Linked DNA regions of Sus scrofa. The protein of the gene in region 3 purifies or fractionates together with the protein of the main gene of each other region. This does not show direct contact. Links are inferred from orthologs where the notes say so. Each region holds a gene or a part of one and is shown on either strand. Other genes may lie near its edges. The genes, in order: HIC1, FOXO3, SIRT1, RECQL4, BRINP1, EZH2 and E2F1.

Region 1 (4,167 bases), on a different chromosome or scaffold from region 3:
TCGGAGAGACGCGATCTGGGCGAACCTCATCGGTTACTATGGTAACTCTGCGCCCCATCTTCTCGTGCGCCGCGGCTGAGGGAGGCACAGCCAATCAAAAGCTGCAGGCTTTCTCGGAACCCACTCCCACCCTCCACGTGTGGGCGGGGGTCAGGAGGTGCGGGGAGGAGGCGGAGCGTGGGTTGAGGAGATCCACTCAGCCACGCAGGCGTTGGCTTCAGGCCTGGCGTGATGGCGGGGCGGCGCGGTACACTTCCGGAGTAGCTGTGCCACTGCCCGCTCACCAGTGCAGGGGTCCCCTCCCTCCTAGAAGGGGCGTCACCTGCAGGAAATGGGCCTTCACTTGGGGGTGCAGGACCCTGCGGGGGATCCTGGGCTCCAGGCCCTGCTGTAAGACCGTTGCGCGTACCTCAAAAATGGCTCGCACAGGGTATCTGGGAGCTTAGGTCTCTTCTGCGGGACCACCCAAGAGGCTCTGTCCAGCCGTTCCCCTGTCACACATCCTGGGGTCCCTCCAGAGATATGCAAGTTCAGCGTGCACTGTTTGGGTACCACTTCTGCCCAGGTCACAGAGGGCTCTACATGGCAGCCCCCTGAGTATGCCAGAAAGCCGGGACTTCGTAAGGGGGCAGGTGTGTATGCAAACATGAGCGCCTTCGAGTGTCAATGCCTAGAGAGGATCTGGGTGCAGATGGGTTTATTCTGTGCATACCATACCCACAGGGTTGAGTGAGGGAGGGTGTGTTGAGGGGGTGGGTGGGTACAAACGGACAGTCCCACCCAGGAATATCTAGGGGGTACCCTACTATCTTGTCTATCTTTTTCTTCCTTAGGATTTTCGGAACCTCTCTTACACCATCTACTTTCACCAGAGTCTCCTCCTTGTGGGCAAGACTTCTCTGAATTGGGGCAATTTGAGAATTTAGAAATATGTACATGGGATCATTCAGCTCAAAATCCCGAGGCTTGTGGGGCTCGCAGGTCCGAGGCTTGGGTCTCCAGATGGGCACATCTGGGAGGCTGAACCTGCGAACAGCCCCCCCCGCCCCCGCCTCCGCCAGCCCTGCATCTGCGATCCTCCAGCCCAGGTGCGCAGGAGGGAGGTCGCGGCTGTGCCGCGCCAAGTCTCGCCGCGAGGTGGCGCCATAGCTGCAGCGGCGCCTGCCGGCCCGGGCCGCTCCAGATAAGAGTGTGCGGAAAGAGCAGCGGGGCTGAGACGCGACCAGGACGCGGGGAGGACGGACCAGCAGGACAGACCGACCGGGGGCCCGGAGGGCGGAGGGCAGCGCAGCGCAGCCACGTCCCCCCTGGATCCGCCGGCAGCCGGGCCCGGGGCTTCCGACATGCCCCCCAGGTGGGTCCTCGGGCTGGGGACCGGGAGGGACAGGGGACCCGGACACGCCCGGTCCTCGCGCGCTGGCCGCCTCGGGCGCATCCTCCGGCGCGGGCGCCCCAACGCGGCTGGCGTTCAGGGCTCCGGGTGTCGCTCCTAGAGAACTCAGGACCGCCGGGACGCTACTCTGCGCCGGGTTCATGGCGGGGTCAGCGGCCCGGGCCCGGCTCTGCCCGCACATGGGTTGCAGAGGCGAGGGGAAGGGAAGGGGAGCTGGCGGGCGGGGCTGGCAGGGGCGCTGCCCTGGCACAGCGCGGCGCCTGGCAGCGGGGCGGGTGGGGCGCCGGCAAGGAGCTGCCACCGCCGCCGGGAGGGAAGCCCGGCTGGGCTGCGGCCTCAGGTAACGGGCCGCGAGGCCCTGCGGGCCAGGCGGGGAGAAGGGTCGGGCGGGCAGCGGACGGCCGGGGAGTTCTGGGCTCGGTTCAGGCCCGGCAGCGCCTGGCTCTGCCGAAATTGGGGGCCGAGAGGAAAAGCTGCGACCGAGGCACGGGGCCTGGCGCGCTCCTCCCGGCCAGCCCGAAGTTGGGAAACTTTTCCCCAAGTTTGGGGCGGCGGAGTTCCCGTGGAGAAGGGGCCGAGGGGAGCTGCGGAGGGAGGCGCCGGGCCGGCGAATGCAGAGAGGAGGCCGAGGCCAGGGCCGGGACGCGGGTGGGGCGCAGCCAGGGTCAGGGCCGCAGCCGGCTGTGCGCCGTGCCCGCCCGGGGCGCTGCCCCCTCCCTCCCCTGGGAGCTGCGTGGCTCCCCCCTCCCCCCACCTGCTTCCTGCCTCAGCCTCCTGCCCCGATATAACGCCCTCCCCGCGCCGGGCCGGCCTTCGTGCTCTGCCCGCCACGGCAGCCGCTGCCTCCGCTCCCCGCGCGCCGGCCGCCGCCCGGGGCCCAACGGAGAGGGCCTGACAGCCCCCGGCCAGGGCGGCGCCACGACGGGCACCGCGCTCCCCTCCTACGGACCACTTCCCCAACTGGGGCAACTTCTCCCGAGGCGGGAGGCGCTTTTTTACGCGGCTCCCTTATATCCCACTTGGGCAAACTTCTCGGCCTTGAATGACTTTTCCTGAAGCGGACATTTTCCTCAAATCGGGTAACTGTTTCCCAAAGGGTGACTTCGCACCAACAGCTTTCTCCTCAGAAGCCCCCAGAACCCAGGCCGTGCGCCTGGCGGCATCCGGGCCCGGGGGCGCAGGCCAGCCTGGCCTCTTCTCCACCAGCCAGTCTCGACTCCTTCTCCTGGTCCGGGCCGGCCGGCCCAGGCTCCCACTCCCAGAGGCCGCGGATCCTCCGCCAGCGCCCAGGCCGCGGTGCTCGATGCCCCTGCCCAGCTGAGGGGAAGGGGAAGTGGAGGGGAGAAGCGCCGGGCTGGGTGCAGGCGGCGAGGGCTGGCTGCGGCTCTGACCCGGCCGGTGTGTGTCCCTGCAGGAGATTGTGCTGGGCAGACGATGCTGGACACGATGGAGGCTCCCGGCCACTCGAGGCAGCTGCTGCTGCAGCTCAACAACCAGCGCACCAAGGGCTTCTTGTGCGACGTGATCATCGTGGTGCAGAACGCCCTCTTCCGCGCGCACAAGAATGTGCTGGCGGCCAGCAGCGCCTACCTCAAGTCCCTGGTGGTGCATGACAACCTGCTCAACCTGGATCATGACATGGTGAGCCCGGCCGTGTTCCGCCTGGTGCTGGACTTCATCTACACCGGCCGTCTGGCTGACGGCGCAGAGGCCGCGGCGGCGGCGGCGGTGGCTCCGGGGGCCGAGCCGAGCCTGGGCGCCGTGCTGGCCGCCGCCAGCTACCTGCAAATCCCCGACCTCGTGGCGCTGTGCAAGAAGCGCCTCAAGCGCCACGGCAAGTACTGCCACCTGCGGGGCGGCGGCGGCGGCGGCGGCGGCTACGCGCCCTACGGGAGGCCGGGCCGGGGCCTGCGGGCCGCCACGCCCGTCATCCAGACCTGCTACTCGTCCCCGGCCGGGCCTCCGCCGCCGCCCACCGCCGAGCCGCCGTCGGGCCCCGAGGCCGCGGTGAACACGCACTGCGCCGAGCTGTACGCCTCGGGCCCCGGCCCGGCCGCCGCGCTGTGCGCCCCCGAGCGCCGCTGCTCCCCGCTCTGTGGCCTGGACCTGTCCAAGAAAAGCCCGCCGGGCTCCGCGCCCCCCGAGCGGCCGCCGGGCGAGCGCGAACTGCCCCCGCGCCCAGACAGCCCTCCCAGCGCCGGCCCCGCAGCCTACAAGGAGCCGCCGCTCGCCCTTCCACCGCTGCCGCCGCTGCCCTTCCAGAAGCTGGAGGAGGCCGGACCGCCTCCGGACCCGTTCCGCGGCAGTGGCAGCCCGGGACCCGAGCCCCCCGGCCGCCCCGACGGGCCCAGCCTCCTCTATCGCTGGATGAAGCACGAGCCAGGCCTGGGCAGCTACGGCGACGACCTGGGCCGCGAGCGCGGCTCCCCCAGCGAGCGTTGCGAGGAGCGCGGCGGGGACCCGGCCGCCTCGCCCGGGGGGCCCCCGCTCGGCCTGGCGCCGCCGCCGCGTTACCCCGGCAGCCTGGACGGGCCTGGCGCAGGCGGCGACGGCGACGACTACAAGAGCAGCAGCGAGGAGACGGGCAGCAGCGAGGACCCGAGCCCGCCCGCGGGCCACCTCGAGGGCTACCCGTGCCCGCACCTGGCCTACGGCGAGCCCGAGAGCTTCGGTGACAACCTGTACGTGTGCATCCCTTGCGGAAAGGGCTTCCCCAGCTCGGAGCAGCTGAACGCGCACGTGGAGGCGCACGTGGAGGAGGAGGAGGCGGCGCT
Region 2 (3,500 bases), on a different chromosome or scaffold from region 3:
ACTTGACGGCTCCCACTCAGGGTCCTGTGACTTTAGTTAGCAAGTCAGGAAGTGGGGCTGGAGAATACAACAACTATTGGCTTCAATCAAAAAAAAAAAAAAGTCAGGAGTTCCTGTTGTGGCTCAGTGGTTAACGAATCTAGGAACCCTGAGGTTGTGGGTTTGACCCCTGGCCTTGCTCTGTGGGTTAAGGATCTGGCATTGCTGTGAGCTGTGGTATAGGTCACAGACATGGCTTGGATCCCATGTTGCTGTGGCTCTGGTGTAGGCTGGTGGCTATAACTCCAATTAGACCCCTAGCCTGGGAACCTCCATAGAGAAGACAAAAAAAAAAAAGTCAGAGTTTCCCATTGTGGCTCAGCAGAAACAAATCCAGCTAGTATCCATGAGGATGCAGGTTTGAGCTCAGGCCTTGCTCCGTTGGTTAAGGATCCTGTGTTGCTGTGGCTGTGGTGTAGGTCAGCAGCTGTAGCTGTGACTCGACCCCTAGCTGGGAACTTCCAAATGCTTTGGGTGCAGCTCTTCAAAAAAAAAAAAAAGTCAAATCAAAGAAAGCCATGACAGAAGAAGGCTTGGGAAGCTGGGCTGCTAAATTTGGGAGAAATGAGTTTTGAGACTATGACCTAAGGCTTGCCTTGTGAATTTAGGAGAAACTTCCATAAAGTGATGGCATGAATTCAGTGTCAAAGTAAAGAATCTATATTAGGCCACATATGCTCCCAGCTGAGAGGAGCAGTTCATTCCAAAGCAAAATGGAAATTGTACACTCAGAAACCAAGCCTCCCTCAGAGGCCTTGGCTTTCTTCAGGATGTTTCCTCTCTTGCTCTGGTCATACTGAGCTGGTTTAGTTTCAGGAAAATTTGGTGACTTCCCATATATATATTTTTTTTAACTTCAGAAATATTTTCTCAAAAAAACTTCCCTCAAAATGTTTTGAGGTGACTAAACGTCCCTGTTTCCAATAGGGTATAATCACAAAATGGGTAATCTTAAAAGTAGGTAGTAATCTTAAAAATATGTGTAGTCTCAAAAGCAGTTTATTATCAAAATAGTAATGATTCATTAAATACATTTTTAAAAGTTAAGTATTTAAATCTCCCTTAAAATGTTTTTATACAATCTTTTAGAATTACACACACACACACACGAAAGGTCTGCTCTTCAGCTAAGAGGAAAACCTACACTTGAAAAGTCAGACAAAAACCGACAGCACATTTTCTTCTCTCAGTCTTTTCAGTGAGCTAGAATGTGGATGCCTTACAACGAAACCAAAATTAAAACCTCCTTGGGTCTTTAGAAGCCACAATCACATTTCTCTTCTTAAAGGAAGACAAACTATTCTTCTGAAAGCCAAATATCTGAATTTCTCAAGGCAAATCTCCCCCATTCCGAGTTTTGGCAGCATGAAAGTGTGTCACCCTATTTGGCTTCTGTTGCAGTCTTTTTACCATCTCAAGGGCTATTAAATGACTGGAAACAGATGTCTGAGAACCATTAGGGGCCTGCTTCTGCCTGGGAAAGCAGAGAAGCTGAGCATCACAACACTCGACATTCCCTTTTCTACAACTATGTGTGAGCTGGATGGCGCACCGCAGGGACCCTGGTAATTCCTTCACCAGGGCAGAGGGTTAAACAAGGCTCAGCTTTTTATGGCTTTGAATCCCACTTCTCTTTCCCACCACTTAAAGAAGAGTAGCTTGCTGACATTTAAGAGAAAAAAAAAAAAAAAGAAAAAAGAAAAAAGAGGACCCGGGGCATAGAACAGAGCCCCCAAACATGGGAAGTAGAGTTGTGCAAGCCTGTGAGCAAAAGACCTGATGCTCATTTTGCTACTTGAAAGGGAGAGTTGTTTGAGGGCAAGCTTGTATATTATCTGCTCCTCTGGCTCCAGTTCAGAGCATTTCCCATTTTCACCATCTAGAGATAATTAGAAAGAACAACTACGGTTCAAGCCATTTCAGAAATTGGGATTCTGGGTCTAGCTGTGTGACCCTGGGCAAACTACTTAACCTTCCTGGGCTCCCTGTTTACTCATCTGTCTGTCAGTATGTTTACCTAATTACACCATACATATTTCAAACCATTGTGGTTTTAAAAGCACTTTTGCACATTTCAGTGTTTAAGGATTCCATTTTAGGGCCTTTTTTGGGGGGAGGGGAGCTGCGGCTGCAGTGTGCCGCAGCTTGATGTGGGATCTCAGTTCCCAGACCAAGGACTGAATGTGGGCCACAGTGGTGAAAGCACTGAGTCCTAACCACTAGACCACCAGGGAACTCCCAGTGCATCTGACGCTTGCAATAACCCCATTAAGCAACAGGGGTTATTATCCTCATGGTATAAAGCTGGCAACTGAGGCTCAGAGGCTAAGTGACACACTTCCGATAGCAGCCAGAAAGCAAGAGAAGTGGAACCGAATCCTCAACTTCTGATTCCAAGCAAATGCTTTTCTTTCCATATCATGTTGCATGATCTTTCTGGTTCCAACAGAATTAAAATGCCACAATTTAAAAAAATCTGTCTCCATTCACAACCCATGTCACTGTTTGGAATCTGACATCTTTTATACTTCGGGGAAAACGAAGCATGTGAAAAAGTGCTCTCTCACATAAACACTTCTGTTTTCAATTGAATTCTTTTGCTCTTTTAAATACTTAGATGCTAAGTGCTAACTAGTAAAGATGCTTAGTACTAGTGGTGAAGAATCTAACAGGTCTGGCTCCTGGTAGACATACTCCTGTATGAAAGAGTCCAGAATACACAGTCTACAGTTATATTAGAAGTACCCAAAAACTGTTACTTTACTGAAAAAGAAAGATATAAAACCCACAGCATGGAAGATCGACAATGGCAGAGCTGGACCTGAGACTCTAAGAAAGTCCACTGCTGGGTCCTTAACCTTGACATTTGTGTGGCCTAAGGTCCCCTTCCTCCTTTCCCTTGTCTCCTCATCCATCCATCCAATAGGGGGACCTGTGTCATAGGTCAGTGAGGGTGACTGGACGCAAAGAAAAACGAAAGCCTCTGGTAAAAGTCCTGAGCTGTCAGCAAACTGTGGGGAGGGGACCCTGACGGCCCTATTTGTTTTGCAGGTACAACTCAGAAAGAACCGGGTGGGAGCAGGTTACCATGCACCAGGTATACAAAAGGCGGTTCCCTACCCCCACCCCGTTACCACTACGCCACAGCACTGGGCACTGACCTGCTCTGCCCACTTCCCCTTTCCTCAGTGAGCCTTCAGCCTGGCACCCAGCTCTGAGATGAGGCCTGCTTAGCACCAGTGAAGCTCCCCACGTTCAAACCAACAACGTTCTGTGTGGAGATGAGGGAATCAAAGTTAAAATCCAACCCGTCAGCATCCATGAGTTCGCTACGGATAATGGACTCCATGTCACATTCCAAGCTCCCGTTGAACATGTCCAGGTCCAAGTCGCTGGGGAACTTCTCGTGGCCCATGACGGGAAGGTTCGCACTCGTTGAGTACAAGGAGGAGCCTGAGAGG
Region 3 (4,229 bases):
GTTTAGATGGGACATTGGAGATACATTTTCGAAATTATAACTTTTTTTTTTAAAGGAGGAAACATCTTAGATTGCTTTCTTAAGTTCAAACAAGTAATTGGCATGGTAGAGGCAGGACCCACTTTAAGCTTAAGGGCTGATTTATTGTAAATTCAGAGAGGTCCCTTCAGTGGCTAGAAACGCCATGCTGCAGAGGCAGATGCCTACCAAACTTGGCCATACTATAACACATCCTTAGTTAAGGTAGGCTATGAAGTCACAAGAGTTCTGGAATGTCAGGAAAAGTGGAAAGTAGAAGGCCTTCAAGTAGGGCAGGACTAATATTTTAGCTCTATTTAGCCCTCACTTTATATCCAGCAATCTTATGTAACTATTTTTTTTTCCCAGCCTGACCTGCTGCATGTGGAAGTTCTGGGGCCAGGGATTGACCCAAGCCGCTGCAGTAACAACGCTAGATCCCAAGACTGTGCCACAAGAGAACCCGCTACCTTAATTCTCAGCACAACTCTACCATTGCAGAGATTAGGACAGTGGGTGTAGAAAGGCTAAATAAATGGCTCAAGGTCAATCAGAAAGACCTCAAGTTCGAAACCAAACCGATGTTTATAAGGGCCAAGTCATGCTCAGTTCAGCTCTCCTCATGAGGCCCCACTTGGCCCAATATACTCATTTTGAAGCCCAGAAAAGATAAATCACACACATTTGGAGCTAAGTTGGGGCCTGAAATCGAACAGGCTGATCCCTACCCGGCCCCCCACCGTCAAACCTCTTTCTAGGGCAGATACATGCTTTTAATGGTCTAACAATGTATATCACCCTCTGAGTAATGGAGAGAGGGAGAAAAATAAACCGGCTAAGGAGAGAAGCAAGCAGAAAATAGGAGCTGAAGAGTACCCGCCAGAACGGTTTGAGGAGGGTGAAGAGTGAGGTGTGTGTCCTTTTGCCTCTACTCATACAGGTTAACAAAACAGACCCATCACCTAGCTTATTTGGCCAGCTTCATTCCCTATCGCCTTTCAGGAACTAAGTTTTAAGCCTTAACGTTAAGTCCAGAAAAGACTAAGTGAGGAGAGCAAGGTGTGCACTTTAGGCAGAAGTGGAAATTCGCAGTGCAAACCAAAACTTGAGCTAACCGGGCAGCAGTGATTTGAGGACAGCTTGAAAGAGAAGTTTGGCTGAGAGAAGCGCCTGCAGCGGAGGGGTGGGGCCACAGCACCCTGCAGCGTTTGCTCCTGGCCCCCACCGCCTCCGCTTGCCACGTGACCCGCCGTGTTGTGGTCCGGCCCGCGTGGGTGGCGGGAGCTGCGGGTGGGCGGGGGCGAGGAGGGGCGGGTCACGTGACGGGGTTTAAATCTCCCGCAGCCGGAGCCGCGGGGGCGCCAGTGCCGCGAGTCGAGCGGGAGCAGAGGAGGTGAGGGAGGAGGGCCAGAGAGGCAGTTGAAAGATGGCGGACGAGGCGGCGCTCGCCCTTCAGCCCGGCGGCTCCCCCTCGGCGGTGGCGGCTGAGAGGGAGGCCCCGTCGCCCCCCGCCGGGGAGCCGCTCCGCAAGAAACCGCGGAGAGACGGCCCGGGCGTCGGGCGGAGCCCGGGCGAGCCTGGTGGGGCGGCCTTGGAGCGTGAGCTGCCGGCGGCGGCGGGCGGCTGCCCGGCGGCGGCGGTGCTGTGGCGGGAGACCGCTGCGGGCGGGGAGCGGGAGGCCCAGGCGGCTGCGGCGGCAGGAGAAGGAAACAATGGGCCGGGCTTACAGGGCCTATCCCGGGAGGCGCCCCCGGCCGACGACTTCTACGACGACGACGACGACGACGAGGGCGAGGAGGAGGAAGAGGCGGCGGCAGCGGCGGCTATTGGGTACCGAGGTGCGCAGGGCGCGGGCGGCCGGGACTGCGCATCCCCCCGCCTCCTCTCGGGGCCCCTCCTGATGTGGGGTGGGGGAGTCTCGGGCAGGCTGGGGGCTCGTGGCTGGCTTTGTAGCGTCCCCCTCCCAACCAGGGCCCTCAGCTGCGCGCCTCCGCGGCTGCAGGCCTGGCTGCAGGAGCGGCCCGTCGACTCTATCCCTCCCTCGCCCTCTCCCCGCCCTCCTCCCCTCAGTCCCAGGCCCGCCCCGGCGGCCTTGCGCTTTGCGCAGCCGCGGGGCTGGCGAGCCTCGCAGTGGATTTTAAAATAAGTTTCTCTTTCCTCCTACTCTTTTAGCATATTGCTTTTGTTAAGTGTTTTTTGCTTCTCCGCCCTTTCTCCCCTCGCCCCGCACAGTTAAACCTGCAACTTTTGACTGTCCCTGATAACAACCATTTGCAGTTGACTTTGCAAACTGACACCTGTGCAATTTGTTGTTGTTTTTGAGGGCCTTTATTTATAAACTTGTTTTGAAATTTAAAAGAGTAAAGCTGTTTCTAAAGTCACAACCTGCAAAATTTGAAGAGCATAGCTGTTTCTACAGGCATCACTTTGGTGCAGTTAATAGAGGGCATAGGAGAGAAATAGGTTTTAGAATACTTTGTGTGAATAGTGTTTTTTCTCTAAATCATATTCTTATAGTGGTTTTTAGATTAAGTGTCTGTGTGTGTGTATGTAGCCCCGAAATACGAGTTGACGCTTTTCTGACCTACTAAAGCAGATACAGTATATGATGGTTGTATATGTCTCGTCATCTTTGAGTGTGTCATGTTTTCTAGCTGGATAGACGTGTTTTTATTAATCTTTTATTGGTAAATACAATCTGGGCCATTTGACCTGTGTAAAGCTTACGACGTGTGCATTAGGGACTGGAGTGGAAAAACGACCCCTGTTTTCAAGGAACAGTTTAATAGTGGGAATGAATAGTGCAAATATCTTAGTGTATGTTTAGTATTATGTATTATAAATGTATTTTTACATGTACATATATGCAAGTTGCCGTAGTTATATTTGCACCACCTTTGAATAAGTTTTTTGGAGTTTTTTGGCTGCACCTGCAGCATGTCGAAGTTCCTGGGCCAGGGATCCAACACTCCCCACTGCAGCGACAACTTGAGATCTTAACCCACTCCACCACAGCGGGAACTCCTGAATTCTATTATTTGTGATCGACAAATTCCAATTAACTAGGTTATTTATTACTTTTTGTATTTTTAAGTAGACTTAATTTCTTGCTCAATTTTGATGAACTCTAACTTAGATTCTGGGCAGGATCCCTAAAGATGAGGATATACTGTTCCTGGGAATGATGCAAGCTGATTCAGTAGGCATTCTTTACACACTCAGTGTGAATGTTAAGTGCTTTGTTTATTTAAAAATTTTATGACCGAACCTGGGCCTATGGGAGCTCCTAGGCTAGGGACTGAATCCAAGCCACAGCTGAGACCTATACTAAGGCAGCGGAATGGGATTCTTTAACCCACTGCACTGGGACAGGGATCCAACCTGCATCTCAGTAGCAACCCAGGCAGGTACAGGCTTAACCCATTGCCCCACAGTAGTAACTCCCAAGTGCTTTATTCATTGGAAATTCTTACATCATAATCATTACAGTTCTTCATACATTTTATTTATTTATTTTATTTTTTAGGGCTGCACTTGCAGCATATGGAAGTTCCGAGGCCAGGGGTCGAATCTGAGCTGCAGCTGCCAGCCGATGCCACACTAATGCCAGATCTGAGCTGCATCTTTGACCTGCACCACAGTTCACTGCAACTCTGGATCCTTAACCCTCAGAGGAGGACAGGGATCGACCTGCTCATGGATATTAGTTGGGTTCTTAACCAACTGTGCCATAACAGGAACTCTCTTATTCATACATTTTAAATGGTAGATTGTTTCATCAGCCTTGAGTTACTTTTGGCTTCTTTTGCAGATAACCTTCTGTTTGGTGATGAAATCGTCACCAATGGTTTCCATTCTTGTGAAAGTGATGAGGATGATAGAGCCTCACATGCCAGTTCTAGTGACTGGACTCCAAGACCACGGATAGGTATGGTTTTCACAGCCTAAGCTATCTTTTTTAGTATTTTCTTTTTAAGTCAACTAAAAATAAAATTCTCTGTCCCCTTATGGTCTGGTGATGAGGTTCTTAGGTGTTTAACGAAATTTACTATCAGCTTGTTTCTAGGGAAGGTAGAGCTTTGAACTGCTTTTGTTTCTAAATAGCATGGGCCTGTCTAAGCTGACCTCTGGTATTTCTCAAATAACCAGGTCCTTCTCACACTTGTGGGCCTTTACACTTGGGCCCTCTGTGTGAAATGGTCTTTTTTTTT
Region 4 (3,923 bases), on a different chromosome or scaffold from region 3:
TGACCTCAGCACCCCCAGGGGCAGCCTTGCTGAGCCTGTGTCTGCAGCACTTCCTGGGAGGCCTGGTCACAACCACCACCTTCACCCTGATGATGCGCTGCAGCCAGTTGGCACCCAGTGCCCTGCAGGTGAGGGTACGTGGCTGGGACATTCGGGCCACGGGACTGGAGTCCAAGCAGGTCCTGACTGATCTCCACAAATCTCCAGGCCACACACTACAGCCTCCTGGCCACTCTGGAGCTGCTGGGGAAGCTGCTGGTGGGCGCGCTGGCCGGAGCCTTGGCTGACAGCCTGGGGCTGCGCTTCTGCTTCTTCCTCTTCCTCGCTCTCTCAGCCACACCCATGCTGTGCCTAGGCCTTGCACCCAGCACGCTGGCCTGAGCCGGGTGGCTGGCCTTGTCAATAAAGTGGAGTGGACCCGAGGCCTGTGTCTGGACTGAGATGTGCTTGGTTGTCCTCAGACTGTGGGGTTGTCCCCACTGGAAGGAAGGTCCCTAAAAAAGACGTGAGCATCTTTTATTCTGCTTTAAGGCCTCCTTGCCCCCGCGCCCCGGCAGTAGGCTTTGTCCAGAGGGGCTACACAGTGTTCTGGCCGCCGATGCCTCATCTCTGCTGTGCTGACACGGTCCCCCCAGCAGGCCACTCAGCGGCCCCACAGCAGGATCTCCTCTGTGGCCAGGTGCATCAGGGCGTGGAAGTTCAGGTGCAGGTATTTTCTCCAGAAGCGCCGGTCCCGCCCGTACACCTGGGCTGGATAGCGGGGACTCCCTGCGGTGGACAGAGATGTGGCCCTGGGGACTCTGGCTGCCAGCCCCTGCCTTTCTCCAGGCTGTGCCTCCCAGGTCCTCACCAATGCCGTGGAAGACGCGGGCTACAGCCCTGCCTGAGAACTGCTGCTCAGGCCACGAGGACAGCAGGTGGCGGATGTCCCGTCGGATCTGAGCCTCCCAGTCCTGGAGCTGCCCGTGGGGGACACATCAGTCTTGCCGCGGCACAGGGCAGGGAGTGAGTGTGTACCCGTGTGCGCACAGTGCACGCACGCTCATGCCTGCCACGGCCTGACCTTCCCTGGAGATCCTGGCACTCACCGTGGCCTGGCCTGGCTCGGGGCCCTGCTGGTCCATGCCCTCTGGACCTGCTTCCTCTTCCTCAAAGTAGCGGCGGAGCAGGGCCTTGAGCCTGCCACTGCGTTCCTCATCGGGCTGCTCCAGGCACGGCCCACAGCTGGGGAAGGCCACGCTGGGGTGGCATGGGCTAGTTAGGTCTGCCCACCTGGGGGTGGGTGGGGTGGCCCAGGCCCCGCCCACCTCCTCCAGCACCTGTGAAAAGCCCAGTAGGTGTGGTGCAGGCGGGCCAGGGCTTCTCGCTCTCGGGCCTGCACGCGTCCATGTAGGAAGTCACAGATCTGATCCTTCTCCTGGGCGGTCAGGTCCCCGGGGGAGCGCAGGTGGAAGGCTAGCACCTTGAAATCCACTAGCACCCCCGTGCCCCGAGGCAGACCTGCCAGACAGGGTGTTAGACATGGGCAGGTGGGCAGGTAAGCCCACCGCAAGCAGGGCTGGGGGGCAGGCGCACCTGTCCTGGGCTCCGGGTCCCACTGTAGCTGCCGGAGGGCCCGCCGCACGGGGGCCAGCTCCCAGCCCATGGAGTCTGCCAGCTCCACCACATCGAACTCCACAGAAGCTGTGTTCTCAGGGCTCTGCTGGGCTAAGCACGCAGCCAGGGGAGGACACCTGAGCCAGGGAAGGGGGCATGTGATCGGAAGCCTGGTCCTTGGTCCCTGTCCCCAGCCCAGGGGGAAGTGTAGTCACCTGCGGGCCAGGGCCTGGAGCTGGGTGGGGCCCCCAGGGCAGCGCAGGTGGCAGCGGGCATAGGTGGGTTCCAGCAGCTTCAGCCAGCGCTGTGGGTGCAGCTCCAGGTAGCAGAGCAGGGTCTCAATGGCTAGGGGCAGAGCAGGGCTCAGGGGACGTGGGGACATGGGGACGCCCCGGCCACACACGGCCCCTGTTTCTCACCCTCCTCGGGCACATCCAGGGCCTGCACCATTGGCTGCACTGGGAGTGCCCGCTCGTGGCCCGGGCACCGGGCTGTGAGCTCCACGTGGGGGTGGTCGGCATCCCAGGGGACTGTGGCCGCCGAGCTCTCCTGGCTCTCGCCTGGCTCAGGCACCAGGGGCTGCTGAGCGTGGCCGCAAGCAGGGAACACGTGCTGCACCAGCTTCTTCACGGCGAGGAAGTCGATGGCGTCGGCGTGCACATGTCTGCGCAGCTCCCACAGGTCCTCAGCCTGCAGCAGAGCAGCCACCGTGAACGAAGGGCTGCAGTAGGGGGGGGCGCTGGGCAGCTCCAGCGGGTGGATGCTCACCTGGGGCCTCAGGAAGAGGTGGCAGTGTGCGGGCTGCCCGTCGCGCCCAGCCCGGCCCACAGCCTGCACGTAGCTCTCGAAGCTTGGGGGCAGCCCCAGATGAAGCACGGCCCGCACGTCTGGCCGGTCCAGCCCCATCCCGAAGGCAACCGTGGCCACCACCACCCGTAGCCGGCCCTCCATGAAGGCCCGCTGCACCCGCCGCCTCTCCCGGCTGCACATGCCTGCATGGTAGGCTTCAGCCACGGCCTCTGGGGCCCAGCCTGCAGGGAGAGGCACAGATGGTCAGGTGGGGAGCGTGCCTACAGCGGTCTTGTGGGGCACAGCCCTGCCCCGCTACCCCAACCTCCGGGTCCCAGGGCCCAGGTCTCACGCAAGCAGGTGCGCAGCAGGGCAGCGACACGCTCGGTGTCCTCTCGCCTGTTGCAGTAGATGATGATAGAGTCCAGGGCACAGAAACGGTCACTCTGCAGCAGTGTCACCAGAGCCTGCGAGAGAGCACGGTCTGTCTCTGCAGCCAGGCAGCAGGACCTTGGCTGGGCCCCTGTACCCACTTACCTGGTCTGGGTCCCTGTCCATGGACACAGAGAGGTGCAGGTTGGCAGGGATGGTGCCTTGCCCCCTGAGGACAGACTCTTCAGCCACACCCAGGTGCTGAGCCACGTCGAGGGCAGTGCTGCGCGTGGCCGTGGCCGTGAGACCCAGGAAGCAGCTGACACCCACGCGTTCCCGTAACACCTGCGTGGAGGCGGGTGGTAAGGACAACCACCCCACCTTCCCTGGCCCACTCACCGGTCCCCTCAAGGCTTACCTTGCAGACTCGCAGGTAGCAGGGCCGGAAGTTGTGAGACCACTGAGAGAGGCAGTGGGCCTCATCGATGCAGGCGAAAGCAACCGGGGGCAGCTGGGTGAGGAAGGCAAGCCCCGCTGCTCCTGCCCCAGCCAGCGCCTCTGGCGACAGCATCAGCACTTGTACCTGGGCTGATCGAGCCTGAGGGTGGCAAGGTCAGGACAACTGCACAGGGCCTCCAGGGGACTGCTCCCTCTGCCCATCTGGCCCTTAGGCCCCCTTACCTTCTGCAGGGCAGAGTTCCGCTGCTTCTTCGACATCCCTGAGTGGATGCAGGCCGCCTTCAGGCCTGGGGGCAGGCCAGACACCTGCAGATACAGGAGCATGATGCCACCCACCCTGGCCCTTCCCCACACAACTCTTAGGATGGTTTGGCCTGCCAACCACTGCTCTCTCAACTTCGGGCCCTCTGAGGAGAAGAAACCTAGATCCTGGGTCCCACGACTCAGGGTTCAGAGCCACCTGCGGGCCTGATGCAGGAGCACCAGGAATAGACAGGTAGTGGGGGGGGGGTGTCATTCCCCCAGTGCCGTTCCTCCTGTTGGGGGGCCTGGGGCTGTGAACAGCCAGGCTCTCTGCAGCGCTGGGTGGGGCAGAGCAAGAACCAACAGCCCAAGTAGGTTGACGGAGCGGTGGCTACCCATTCTCACCTTCTGCATGTGCCCAGGGGCCCTGTCCACCCACCTGGTCATCCATGAGTGACATGAGG
Region 5 (3,500 bases), on a different chromosome or scaffold from region 3:
AAGCTTGAAAAATAGGACTGAGAATATAGTCTATAGAGTTTCTTTAAGCAACTGAAACTTAACCCCAATCCATAGACTCAGATGCCTATAGGGGATTGGGATCGGCTAAAAATACATCTTGCTCTGGAAGCAAAAATGGCAATACAGATAAAATGACTCAATAATGCATACTCTGAAAAAATCGTTGACTTGGTGTAGAAGGACGTTACTGCTTGATTTGGTTTGCTTGACCTTTAGGAATCTGTATCATACAAGAGCCCTTCTAAGCAATGATTCAAATTCGTTTGGACTCTTTGCTCATTGGGGTGGAACTCGCCCAGCCTTGCGGTGGAACATCTCCCAGCCTGGACACCTCTGTCTGTTAGAAAACCTTCCGCCTTCCATGCATATTGACAGAGGATCTATCTTTCTAATTAGCGTTCCCACCAGCGTTGGTGCAACAGGCACAGAATCCCAACCCCTCCTCCTTGTAGAAGCTCTCCAAGGACCTAAACACTGCCCTCGGGATATGTTCTTCTTCTGATTAAATACTCACAGCTATTGTTCCTTTATTTATCCTGAAATTTGGGTTGAAACTTAAAAAAAAAAAAAAAAGCACACACACACTTTCATCAGAGGAATGGCATCATCACTATTGTCATCCAAAATGGGAATAAATCACATTTATTGTTTGCTTGCTCTGTGTCAGGAATTGTTCTAGACAATTCTCAAGAATTCTTTCACTTCGTCCTTTCAGCAACCCTCTAACGTCGGTATCAAAAGCATCTCTGTTTTAGAGAAGAGGAAGCGGAGCCTTGGAGAGGTTGAATAGGATGACGTCAGTAGTTAAGTGGAGGAACTTGACTCTAGCAATGCCCAGCTCTTAACTACTGGATGATGGATTCCTACCAGAAGACACGCTGGAGGCCCAGTCTCCTTTTCCACACGGCCCCTCTGAAAATAGTCTTTTTTAGCTGCCGTATGAAGAAAGGTAGAAACGATGAGGCTTTTTTTTTTTTTTAAAGTAATTTGAAAGCCAGAGAAAGATAAAAATCTAGAAACGCAACTGTGAAGTAGAGAGCGAGAGAAATGCTGAGTTTATTCAGCAAATCCCTGATGAGGAGGATTAGGGATGTCCCTGAAGCATGAATGAGAAAAAAAGTTAATCCAAATATCACAGTTCTCTTTTACACAGTGGGTAGTAAAACCCCAATATAGGCATTGCTGGCTAAAACTGTCAGCACCTCCAAAAGAAGGGGAGAAGAATGTCCCAGGTGAAAGTGCTTGTGCGAATCAATTTAGCCCAGCGTTGTCTTTTTGTTTCGGGGCACCATCAGCAGTGGCCTGCTGTGCTGACATTTCATAGGTACAAGAGCAGCACGCCTGCCCAGATAAGTCCTTCTCCATCATTGGTCCTCAAGATTAGGACTTGGATTAGTCAAGTGTGGAGAAAAGATCATGCGTTGTGGTCCAGAGAATTCCTCCTATAAACATGAGCTACTCATTTCCTTTTGGTGGGTTTTGCCCTCCTCATTAAGCAAAGAAGAGAAAATTAATTGGACGCCATTCTCCACTGATGTTGGGGTGTGTGTGATACAGTGGTCCTCTTAAATTCTATAACTTTATGTATATCTTCTTACCCTGGAAAACTACCAAAGTATCCCTGTTAGTCATAGAGGAAATCCAAGTTCCTTCGCACGTAATAAAGACGTGCCTTTTGCCCTCTGGCATCTGCCCTTTTCTAAAACCTATTCTCCTCCAGCACTGCACCTCCACCCATCCAAATTCATGTCCTTCATCAGCAATTCCCAGACACGTTAAGTCTTCCTTCTTGCCCCCGCCCCACTTTAGAATGTGCTACCTGATCTTTTTTACATTACAATCTCGTATTCACTTTTCAACCAGCCCAAATATTACCTCCTCTCAAAGTTTGCCCTGCTAACCCAGCAATCTTATTTGCAGGCTTCTGCTGTCTTGTTGCCTCATAAGGCCAGTTTTGCTCTGGGTTTCTACAGCGGTGTTAGTTATGATGACGTGTGTACATGCCCACCCCTGCTGCTTATATTGCAAACTCCCCAAGGGCAAAGATCATGTCTTTTTCATCTTGATAGACCTCATGCCTAGCTCAGGACTTGGGCTTCATAAATAGGGTTTATAAATATTAGAAGGAAAGAAATGAAGGAAATAAGGAAAAATAAACAATAATCTTGTGCTTTCAATAAGGATTTTCTCCCCAAATGGAAAAAGTATATTAACAGATCTGGCTCCAGCCTCAGTCCTAATATCACGGAATAGAGTTTATGCAGTGCAGGGATGGCCAAGGTCACGACCTGAGAAGTTTAAGTAGAAGCAAGGCAACTGGAGGCCTCGCCAATTATGCCCTGCGTGCATCTAGGCAGGCCCAGAAATCGTGCGATTACAACACACAAGGAGCAAGCCAGCAGCTTCAGGTTTCCACCCATCACCTCTCGGAACTGTTAATGAAACACCTTTTCTAACCTTTTTTCCCCCCTTCTCACTATTCTCAATCAGGTCTTCAGATCATCTTCCCTCAGTATCTGCAAGAGAAGTTTGTCCAGTCAGCCTTGAGCTACATCATGTGCAACGGTGAGGGGGAGTACGTGTGCCAGGACAGCCAGTGTAGATGCCAGTGTGCGGAGGAGTTCCCGCAGTGCAACTGCCCCATCACCGACATCCAGATCATGGAGTACACGCTGGCCAACATGGCCAAGTCTTGGGCCGAAGCTTACAAGGACTTGGAGAATTCAGGTAGAGAGCCTCACGGTACTACTGCATGCATGGCCTCGTGCCAAGTCTATAGAAGGAAACAAACTGGAGTTAGGATGGCTGGCGGAATATTCAGTGACATCTCCCGGGCCCCCGGCCTCTCTCACTTTGGGGGGGTCCAGTCATTCTAGTAGCGGTCAACAAGTAGGCACTCAATAAATCTCCACTGAGTGGAGTGGTGAATAGCATAATCAGGTTTGTGGTCCTGTGATGTATTGCTTCTGTGGTACCCAGAAGACAGAGGGGATTATGCCGCACAGCACATAGGAAGCCCCTGAAGAGAGAAGTCACAGGTAGTTATATTGATTCTTGAATGTGTGTGCGTGTCTGTCTATCTGTCTAAATAAATGAACACACGTATATGTACAAATATGTCTGTATATATGCATATATATATATGTACATAGGTATGTAGATACTTATGCAGATATTCGAAGAATTCTCAGACTTTCACAGCTGGAAGTCACTTTTCAGGTCACTTGGCTGTGTCCTGCTTTTCATGGTTAAGAAAAGTGAACAGGGGAGGAAAGTTAGCCACCCAAGGCCATACAGTAGTTAAGGTGTAGAGTTGGGTTTTTCCTCCTGGGGTTATAGGGTACGTGGGAAATCCAGGCATGTACCCTATAACTATGCAGGTAATTGTGACCTGCTTATCATAGGTGTGTCAGGAGTGAGGAGCTCCTGGGAGCAGATCGCATGGCTTTGGAGGTCAGTGTAGCCAGGAGGGGCCGCCT
Region 6 (4,130 bases), on a different chromosome or scaffold from region 3:
AAATTCAGGAGATCCCGTGGCGCAGCAGAAACTAATCCAACTAGGAACCATGCCTGAGGTTGCAGTTAGATCCCTGGCCTTGTTGAGCTGTGGAGTAGGTCGCAGATACGGCTTGGAGCCTGAGTTGCTGTGGCTGTGGTGTAGGCCGGATTCCACCCCTGGCCTGGGAAACTCCATACGCCTCGGATGAGGCCCTAAAAAGAAAAAAAAGAAAATTCAGAATAACCTTACCTTCACTGTCAGATAAATTAAAAGGGGAAACTGCATCCTAAACAGAATATTTCTAATTCTTATGGGTTGATACAGGCTCACCCGCAGATCATTTTTTTTTTTAACACTTGAAAGATGCTGCAATCATCCCAATTTTTTCCAGAGGCGTTAGCTCGAGGCAAGTGAACCCCACTCACCCCTGATAAATGATTAACGTTGACACGTGTTTGGAACTACAAACGCTGGAAGGTGCCGAACAAGGCGCTCAGAATGAGGAAACTGAAATAACAGTAGGGCTGCTGTTTCCCAGGTTTCTAAGGAGATGGGCACTGCGGCCTCGACCAACCAAAGTCCAGCGGGCCAGGGGATCTGAGTCGGGCCAAGCCACTGAGGGGCTTAGCAGAAAAAGTAGCTGGCAGAGCGCTCTGCTCGCACCGGAGGCGGCGCGCCAGTCCGACCAGACCGCGAAAGGCTCGGGGCTCCTCGCCCGAAACGAACCAGATTGGAGCCCGGACCGCAGAGCGTAACTGGCCGGCAATCGGGGTACCTCGCGCGCGTCCGCCGGCCGGCCTGCGCTTCGGCTCCGCGCGCGGGGAAAAGAGCGCGGCAGTTGAAACCGTTACCACCCCCGAGTTTTGAACTGGTTCAAACTTGGCTATCGGCCCCGCCCCGCCCCTCCGGCCCGGGAACTCTGAGGCTGCCGGCGGTTCCCGCCAAGCGCCGCGAGCGCGCCGTCCCGCCCCCTGGTCGGTTCCCGCCATCCTGCCCTGGCCGCCTCCCGCCCGCGGCCCGGGATTCGGGCTGCAGAGGCCCCATCGTCCCAGCCAGCCGACCCACCGCCTTCCTGAGAGGCGCCGTGCGTTCGGCGAAAGAACAAAGAGACGGCGCAGCGCTTCCACTCGGCGGCCGCGTCCCTCAGCGCCCGCCCGCTCGCGCGCACGCGCCGCCGGCCCGGCCCGGCTGAGTCCCGCGGGCTCCTCTGCGTGGGGCTGGCTCGCCGCCACGGAGCCCGGCGGGCCTTGTGATTGGACGGGAGCCCGCCTCGCGGCCCGCCAATCGGGGCGGCGCTTAGTTGGACAGGGGGGGCCAAATAAAAGCGATGGCGATTGGGCTGCCGGGTTTGGCGCTTGGTCCGGGAGCGTCCGACACCCACTGGGACGCAGAAGGCGGTGGAAGCCCGGCGGCGGTGGTGGCGCGCGGGAGCGGCGCGCGGGAGCGGAGCGGGCTGGGGCGCGGGGCTCAGGTAGCGTGCCGCTGTCGGGCCGGCCGGCCAGCGGGGCTCCGAAGCTCGGTGAGGGGCGGCGGCGGCGCCGGGATATCCCCGCCACCCCTCCGGGTATCGCCCAGAGCGGGCTTTCCCGGGGCGCCGCTTTGGCTGGAGGGGTGAGAGGAGACCCCTCGGAAGGGGCCGTGGCTTTGGGCTGGCCCGCGCGACCGCGGGGGCGGGCAGCGCCGCACCTGGCGACCTAAGGCGGGACCCCGGGCGGGCGCCCTGGGGGGCGAGCCGAGGGGTCTTCTCGCGCGCCCGCCCTTCGGGAGGCGCGGCGGCTGGGCTGGGGGCGCTCCGGTGCTCGGGGCGGGCCGGCCGCCCGAGCCCCTGTCTCCTTTGTGTGGAGCGTCGCGGCGGGAGCGCCCGGGTGGGACGGGACGCACACAAGTTGGTGGGACCTCGGCACCGAGTGCACACTCAGACAAAGGACGGACTGTGTCTCGGGGGAGCTCGGCGCGGGGAAGGGGCAGTGACACCCGGGCCTGACAGCGGGCGGGAGAGGGGCGTGGGGAGCGCGGGCCGCGGCGCAGGGGGCGGGCTGGGCCCCACGCCCCCTCCCCGCGAGCGCGCAGGCTCGGCCGGGGCCGAGGGGGCCGGGGCGGCGCTGGGAACCGAACTCGGAGCGGCTGCGGGTCTGACATTTCCCCGGAAAGCACCCCCGAACCCCTCGTCTCCACCCGCTCTGACGAGGCGGTCCCGGCCGCCTTTACCCCCTCGGCTGGCTTTCTGTTAAGTTTGAGGAAGGGTCGAGCCGTTCTCCCCCCGCTCGGTTTTGTTCGTTTCGGAGGGCTTTTCGTCGAGTTTCCGCGTCATTGTCCACCCCCCCAAAAAAAGTCGGTGCCATCAGGTCCCTTTTTGAAAATTGGAGGAATCGAGAAGCATGATATTTTGAAATGAAAACTTGGTGAACTCACGCCTGCTGAGTTCCCGCTTTCTAAAGAATCATATTTTTTTTAAAAAATTACATGCTCTTTCGGCCAACTTATGTGATACATCTGAGACTGGCGACAGGTGCTAACGAAATCAACTGTCATTTAGTAAGAGATTATTCTCCAAATCCCCAGGGATTGAATGAGGATGCGATGGTAGAAAGAATTGATCAAGCAAAATGTTTATGACAAATGTGTGTTTAGGTGGTCTGGTTAGCAATTCGTCATTAATTGGTCTTGTTTTCCGTGAACAATAGCTTTGTTGAGTCAGAAAAGACTGACTACAGAAATGTTTGTTGCCTAAGAAATTGAACGTGTGCTGTCCACAGTTAAGCTAAACTTCCTTTGTTTGTCACACAGGATCTGTAAAATTTAAGTCATTTGGAAACAAAGATATGTCTTTGGTATTTAAAAATATTTTACTTCAAGGTTTACTTTCTGGGTTTTAAAGGTCATTTATCGGATTAATTTTGTGGCTTTTTAATGTCACATAAAACACCATTTAAGAAAATCTTTAAAAAACACTAATGCTGATACAGTTGAATGTAGGCTATACTTCTAAGGGATTTTAAGAGCGTGTGGGATCCTAACCATTAGACCACCAGGGAGCTAGGGGGTTTGGAGTTTATTTTCCACTACTCTTCATTCATCACCGTTAGCAACTATTTTATGTTTGGAAATAAAATGTAGAACAAGTGTGTAATCCTAACAAGTTTATTGATAATTTTATTTCAAGAAAATGAAAGTATTTATGACCTATTTTAATTTCCTTTTCATATTACCTAAAGTTAGGAGTAGGTAGGGTTCTAGTCCTGGATGTAAAGAATCCTTTCTCTCTTTGTGGTGGTGTATTTGGGAATTTAATGCTTAAGTTCTTGAAAACACTTAGGAAAATGGCATCTTAAATTCTAGTCTTTGTGGCAGGGGAATATCTTCAAAGAAGAGGAATTTAGGAACATAGCACCGATTTGCATTGTTCTATCTGATGATCTAATGTTCACCCTACCATCTTACGGTTTCATAAATATGGAGACAAAGAAATGCAGTGTAAAAGTCTTTATTACATATTTTGCAGTGTTAGACACCGCTGAACAGACATTCCAGGTGCTGTCCTAAGTATTGTTTACTGTATTAGTTGCTAGTAATTATCTATTAAAAAGTCCTCCTGATAATCTGGCCTCTTGTTATAAGATGAGCTAGTTAGGGAGATTTTGGTAGATATTTGGATCTTTTAGGATAAGAAATTGCAGTTTTTCCTTACTTGTTTGTGTACACTATATTTGGCAATTACTGTCTTTGTAGTTGCCACAAGATTTATTTTTAAGTTTTTTTGGGGGAATTGGTTTTTAATTTTTTATTTGATTTGAAAATGTATTTAAGTAGCAGTGATTAAAAAAACCACACTTGTTGATTTAGTGAAGTTAGGCACACAAAAAAGCTGTAATACTTTGATATCAGCTTTGCCTTGCACACATACATATAGGTGATTGTCTTTGTGTTGGCCACTTAAAATTTTTAGGCAGATTTCCCCAGGTTACACTGAGGCTTTCTAGGATATCTTCCATCCTTTGAGCTGGCATGCTTAAGGAGAACGAATTAGTTTCCATCTTGGCCTAAAAAGCGGTAATTAAGAAAGTTGATTTTTTAAAAAATCAACAGCAATAAAAAAATCCTCTGATCTCATGCATTCTGGGGTTAATTAGAAATGACCAGTGGATTTG
Region 7 (4,289 bases), on a different chromosome or scaffold from region 3:
GCTCCCAGTTGAAAGAGGAAGCAGATAGAGAAGTCCAGTGTGCAGTCAGTGCTGGGCAAGGGAAGAAGTAACTCCAGTACCAGAGGGCTCCCTGGAAGAAGTGATATTTATACTGTGGCCTAGGGATCTCATTCTTTATTATTATTATTATTATTTTTAGTACTAAATCTTATTTTTTTATTACTCAATGAATTTATCACATCCGTAAGGGATCTCATTCTTGATTGCATCTTAGCTACCTTTTATTGTTTGTTTCACTTTTGGCCACCCTGAGGCATATGGAGTTCCAGGCCAGGAATCAGATCTGAGCCACAGTTGCAACCTACACCACAGCTGTGGTAAGTCCGATCCTTTAATCCACTGTGCCAGGCTGGGAATAGAATCTACATCCTGGCACTACAGAGATGACACCGATCCCATTGTGCCACAGAGGAAACTCCAGCTACTTTTTTTTTGATGGGCCCATCCCCACCAGATGGCAGGCAAGTTCATAGAAATTATCAAGCCTTTCACATATCTGCCCTCAGCGCTGGCACAAAGCCTGGCACAGAGGAGAGGACAATATAACTCAAATCAGCTGAACTGAGCAATGAGAAGTGGCTGATGGGGAGGTCCTGTGGCCTCTGGTTGCTCAGCACACTCACCTCCTCCCTTTGTAAAATCTAACATGGAATTACCTTAATAGTTGAAATCTGTGTCATATGTAAACATTTGTTACCTCAGTTTCCCTCCAGCCCCTTTCACTAAACTGTTAGATCCTTAGGGCCAGGAGTCAAGAAGGGGGCACAGAGCAGACTCTCAAAACATTTGTTGGGGTTCCCAAAGTGGCTCAGCGGAAATGAATCCGACTAGGAACCATGAGGTTGTGGGTTCGATCCCTGGCCTTGCTCAGTGGGTTAAGGATCCAGCGTTGTGGTGAGCAGTGATGTAGGTGGCAGACAGGTCTCAGATCTGATGTTGCTGTGGCTGTGGCCTTGGCTGGCAGCTACAGCTCTGATTTGACCCCCAGCCTGGGAACCTTCCAGGGGGTACCCTAAAAAGCAAAAAAAAAAAAAAAAAAAAAAAAAAAAGGTTTGTTGAATGAACGAAGGAATCAGTTCAAGCAGAAGCTGTGCTTTGGTTGTTGAAGCGATTCCAGCTACAGGAGGCTTTGGAGAAAAGCCCCAAGCTGTACTGGGTCAGACATTCCTCTCCATTTTCTGGCAACTCCTTCTGCTTGTGCTCTGGGTGGAAGGGATAAGGTGGGCGCAGGATTTGAAAGTAAATGGCATTGGTGGGGCAAGTTGAGGAAAGATGTGGCTGGGGTTTTGTAGGTGGGCTTGAGATCCTGGAAAAGAGAAACTGCGTTTGCAGTTTCTAGAGTTATGGCCTGAGGGTGTTGGAGCACCCACAGGTGGGGGTTCTGGGAGGTCACGTGGGGTCTGTGGATAGCGATCTGTGCACAACACACGTTCTGTTGTAAAAGCCTCCACTAAAGGGTATCAACAGGATGGGGTGCGTCGAAGAGGGGGTGGGGCCACCACTCCCCACACAGGGCCGTCCCCTCTAGGGGCGGGGAGTGCGAACGCGCCTGGCACCGCCCCGACAAAGCCTGCGCGCGCCCCATCCTGCGATTGGCGGTGCTTCCTCGCGCCGCCGCCCCGTCCCGCCCTCCGCCGCCGGTCCGGCGCGCTGCAACCAATGGGCGCCGTCGCCGTCGCCTCCGTCACAGCCAGGACAGCCAATAGGCGCAGCGCTCGGCGGCTCGTGGCTCTTTCGCGGCAAAAAGGATTTGGCGCGTAAAAGTGGCCGGGACTTTGCAGGCAGCGGCGGCCGGGGGCGGAGCGGGATCCGGAGCGGGATCGAGCCCTCGCCTCGGCCTGCTGCCATGGGCCCGCGCCGCCGCCGCCGACTGCCACCCGGGCCGCGCGGGCCGTGAGCGCCATGGCCGTGGCCCCCGCGGGCGGCCCATGCGCGCCGGCGCTGGAGGCCCTGCTCGGGGCCGGCGCGCTGCGGCTGCTCGACTCCTCGCAGATCGTCATCATCTCCACCGCGCAGGACGCCAGCGCCCCAGCGGCCCCCGCCGGCCCCGCCGCGCCCGCCACCGGCCCCCGCGACCCCGACCTGCTGCTCTTCGCCACGCCGCAGGCGCCCCGGCCCACCCCCAGCGCGCCGCGCCCCGCGCTCGGCCGCCCGCCGGTACGGACACCAGGGACACTGGGCCAAGTGCGCTGCCTGGACCCCGGCGTAGACCCGGGCGGGGCGCTATGTTTGGCCTGGAGGCGGCGAGGGCGGGGGAGGGTGGGTTGAGGCGCCCAGGCTGGGCGGTGCCGAGCTTGGGTTGGGCCTTCGGGCTCCGCCCCGGGGTGCAGGGTGACCTCGGGCCAGTCCTTGTTTGCTCCTCTGTGCTCTGGGCCTCAGCTTCTTCGCTGGAGCCTGTCTAGGGTCAGACTCAATGATAATAATGGCCCACGTGTATTCAGCTGTTGCTGACTGCCTGCCAGGCCTCTGGCAGACTTCAAGGCAGCTAAAACTCACATCCATGCTGTGAGCTAGCTCTGTGTTGTCACTGTGCCCATCTGAACTGTGCCCAGAGAGGGGAAGTGGCTTGCCCCCTGGTCACAAGGCTGCAAGTGGGATTTGAACTGAGGCCTGCTGGCTTCAGACCAGAACTTGTGGCTGGATGGTGGGCACGGCTGCTTGGGGAAGTCAGGGGAAAGTTCTGGGACCAGAAAGTTGAAGGGCCATTGAGGAGACCCTCCTTCCTGCCTGGATGCTGGACTGCCAGGTGCAGGCCTAGCCCTCCGGGCCTCTGGGGACAGGCCGCCTGGCTGGGAGGCCTTCTCTGCAGGGGCGGGGTGGCTGGGCCAGCTGCTGATTCCCCTCCCTCTGCCTGTCCTTCCATCTGCCACCCTCCACCCTCCCAGACTCTGGTTGCCATGGAAGCTCATTAATCAGGCAGGCAGACCCCTGGCCCCAGTGGAAGTACTGGGTGGGCTGGGCCTCTGGGAGCTGGAGAGGAGGCCCCCAGTGCTAGAAAAGAGTAAATGCCCCAGGGAGATGCCTTGATAAAGTGCTCCCTGAGCAGCAAGAGGCTTAAGACCAATTCAGATTGGGGGGGGGCTCAGAAGAGACCGCTGAGTTACAGGGGGAGAAGGGGGTGGAGGCCTGGAGCTTGGACCTGTGGGCCGCAGGACAGGGTGTGGAGACCAGTTTGACTGGCGCAGCCTGTGGGTAAGGGTAGGGCATGGATGGGCAGGCAGGGGCCAGCCAAGCAGTATGGGGTCTCAGCACAGGGCTTGGAGCAAGTGGGAGGGGAGAGGCAAAGCCCAGGGCAAGGAAGTAGTATCTGCCCAATTACTGTTGGGGGACTGGGTGGCAGCTGGTCCCTGAGGCATCCCACCAAGGTTCCCCCAGTCCCCCTGGCCCCTTGCCCAGTGTGGCCTTCCTTCCGGAATCACTAAGATGCTAATAATAACAATAGCAGCCACCATTATTTTGAGACTGTTTTGTGTGTTAGGCCCTGTGCCAAGCACTTTACCCAATTAACTCATTTAACCCTCTCAACAACTTTCCCCTTTTCCAGGTCGGGAAGCTGAGGCCTAGAGAGGTTAGAACCTTCCCTAGTTACTCAGCTAGTGAGTTGTGAGACCAGTCCAGATTTCCTGAGTGGTTAACCACTAGGATGCCTCGCTTCCTGGAGATGCTAATAGAGGTTGATGAAAGCACAGGACCCCTTCCTCCTAATGAGTGAGGGGGATGGAAATTGTACCGGGGTGGGTCGCTTGGCTGGTCTCCTGCACCTCAGCAACCTGTTACTGCAAGTACCAGCTTGGGGCCTGGACAGGTAGCTTCCATTTAGCTAATTGATAGTACTTGGCTGTGGGGCCTGCCCTCGGCAGTCTGAGCTCTAGGTTCAGAGGGACAGCCAGAGACTGGGCCAAAGACATGCCCTGTGCTCCACTCCTTATGGTGCCGGGGGCAGCCTCAGTGGGCCTGAGCATTCCCTTCATTCAGCACTTGTTGGTGAGTGCCTATGAGGTACTAGGCAGAGGCAGGTAAGGAGCCTCTGCCCCTCAGTGCTTAAGGGCTAGTAGACATTTTTCGCCGTGGGCAGGGGTGGGGGCTGGTGCTGTCTTGGAGCTGAAGTTGAGAAACATGGGCCCAGGTTTTGCCTTGAACATTGTACCTTTCGGTAGCCACTGGCCACCTGAGCTCTGGCCTCCACTGACCCTCGGCACTGGCATTTGTTTGGGGCAGCCCATGAAACAAGCTACAGACTCAGCTTCTGCACAGGTGAGCATTCACCG

What was found.
Region 1: the proteins of SIRT1 (region 3) and HIC1 purify together in Homo sapiens (affinity purification with western blotting; 4 studies listed by BioGRID and IntAct, with this or other methods). This does not show direct contact. The link is inferred for Sus scrofa from reciprocal best matches to the Homo sapiens genes SIRT1 and HIC1.
Region 2: the proteins of SIRT1 (region 3) and FOXO3 purify together in Homo sapiens (affinity purification with western blotting; 4 studies listed by BioGRID and IntAct, with this or other methods). This does not show direct contact. The link is inferred for Sus scrofa from reciprocal best matches to the Homo sapiens genes SIRT1 and FOXO3.
Region 4: the proteins of SIRT1 (region 3) and RECQL4 purify together in Homo sapiens (affinity purification with mass spectrometry; 3 studies listed by BioGRID). This does not show direct contact. The link is inferred for Sus scrofa from reciprocal best matches to the Homo sapiens genes SIRT1 and RECQL4.
Region 5: the proteins of SIRT1 (region 3) and BRINP1 purify together in Homo sapiens (affinity purification with western blotting; 6 studies listed by BioGRID and IntAct, with this or other methods). This does not show direct contact. The link is inferred for Sus scrofa from reciprocal best matches to the Homo sapiens genes SIRT1 and BRINP1.
Region 6: the proteins of SIRT1 (region 3) and EZH2 purify together in Homo sapiens (affinity purification with western blotting; 3 studies listed by BioGRID and IntAct, with this or other methods). This does not show direct contact. The link is inferred for Sus scrofa from reciprocal best matches to the Homo sapiens genes SIRT1 and EZH2.
Region 7: the proteins of SIRT1 (region 3) and E2F1 purify together in Homo sapiens (affinity purification with western blotting; 3 studies listed by BioGRID and IntAct, with this or other methods). This does not show direct contact. The link is inferred for Sus scrofa from reciprocal best matches to the Homo sapiens genes SIRT1 and E2F1.

Annotation. Positions count from the first base shown.
Region 1 is NC_010454.4:48,166,664-48,170,830, forward strand, and holds the start of HIC1 (hypermethylated in cancer 1 protein), read left to right. Parts: upstream 1-1,367; 5' UTR 1,368-2,435; coding exon 2,436-2,472; intron 2,473-2,807; coding exon 2,808-4,167. UniProt on the Homo sapiens protein: Transcriptional repressor. Recognizes and binds to the consensus sequence '5-[CG]NG[CG]GGGCA[CA]CC-3'. May act as a tumor suppressor. Involved in development of head, face, limbs and ventral body wall.
Region 2 is NC_010443.5:74,738,173-74,741,672, reverse strand, and holds part of FOXO3 (forkhead box protein O3), read right to left. Parts: coding exon 3,236-3,500; 3' UTR 3,201-3,235; intron 1-3,200. UniProt on the Homo sapiens protein: Transcriptional activator that recognizes and binds to the DNA sequence 5'-[AG]TAAA[TC]A-3' and regulates different processes, such as apoptosis and autophagy.
Region 3 is NC_010456.5:71,089,738-71,093,966, forward strand, and holds the start of SIRT1 (NAD-dependent protein deacetylase sirtuin-1), read left to right. Parts: upstream 1-1,429; 5' UTR 1,430-1,444; coding exon 1,445-1,856; intron 1,857-3,829; coding exon 3,830-3,946; intron 3,947-4,229. UniProt on the Homo sapiens protein: NAD-dependent protein deacetylase that links transcriptional regulation directly to intracellular energetics and participates in the coordination of several separated cellular functions such as cell cycle, response to DNA damage, metabolism, apoptosis and autophagy.
Region 4 is NC_010446.5:290,206-294,128, reverse strand, and holds the end of RECQL4 (ATP-dependent DNA helicase Q4), read right to left. Parts: coding exon 3,899-3,923; intron 3,523-3,898; coding exon 3,439-3,522; intron 3,356-3,438; coding exon 3,176-3,355; intron 3,103-3,175; coding exon 2,923-3,102; intron 2,853-2,922; coding exon 2,738-2,852; intron 2,628-2,737; coding exon 2,365-2,627; intron 2,287-2,364; coding exon 2,016-2,286; intron 1,942-2,015; coding exon 1,812-1,941; intron 1,734-1,811; coding exon 1,576-1,733; intron 1,501-1,575; coding exon 1,320-1,500; intron 1,240-1,319; coding exon 1,089-1,239; intron 983-1,088; coding exon of another isoform or gene 960-982; coding exon 851-959; intron 769-850; coding exon 644-768; 3' UTR 501-643; downstream 1-500. Other genes in the region: MFSD3 (major facilitator superfamily domain-containing protein 3), read left to right, coding at 19-134, 208-381. UniProt on the Homo sapiens protein: An ATP-dependent DNA helicase which unwinds dsDNA with a 3'-overhang in a 3'-5' direction. Does not unwind more than 18 bp of dsDNA. May modulate chromosome segregation. The N-terminal domain (residues 1-54) binds DNA Y-shaped DNA better than ss- or dsDNA.
Region 5 is NC_010443.5:259,384,105-259,387,604, reverse strand, and holds part of BRINP1 (BMP/retinoic acid-inducible neural-specific protein 1), read left to right. Parts: intron 1-2,511; coding exon 2,512-2,748; intron 2,749-3,500. UniProt on the Homo sapiens protein: Plays a role in neurogenesis and brain development. May suppress cell cycle progression in postmitotic neurons by inhibiting G1/S transition.
Region 6 is NC_010451.4:109,383,686-109,387,815, forward strand, and holds the start of EZH2 (histone-lysine N-methyltransferase EZH2), read left to right. Parts: upstream 1-1,330; 5' UTR 1,331-1,453; intron 1,454-1,477; exon of another isoform or gene 1,478-1,501; intron 1,502-4,130. UniProt on the Homo sapiens protein: Polycomb group (PcG) protein. Catalytic subunit of the PRC2/EED-EZH2 complex, which methylates 'Lys-9' (H3K9me) and 'Lys-27' (H3K27me) of histone H3, leading to transcriptional repression of the affected target gene.
Region 7 is NC_010459.5:37,187,319-37,191,607, reverse strand, and holds the start of E2F1 (transcription factor E2F1), read left to right. Parts: upstream 1-1,489; coding exon 1,490-1,494; intron 1,495-1,549; coding exon 1,550-1,661; intron 1,662-1,785; coding exon 1,786-2,178; intron 2,179-4,289. UniProt on the Homo sapiens protein: Transcription activator that binds DNA cooperatively with DP proteins through the E2 recognition site, 5'-TTTC[CG]CGC-3' found in the promoter region of a number of genes whose products are involved in cell cycle regulation or in DNA replication.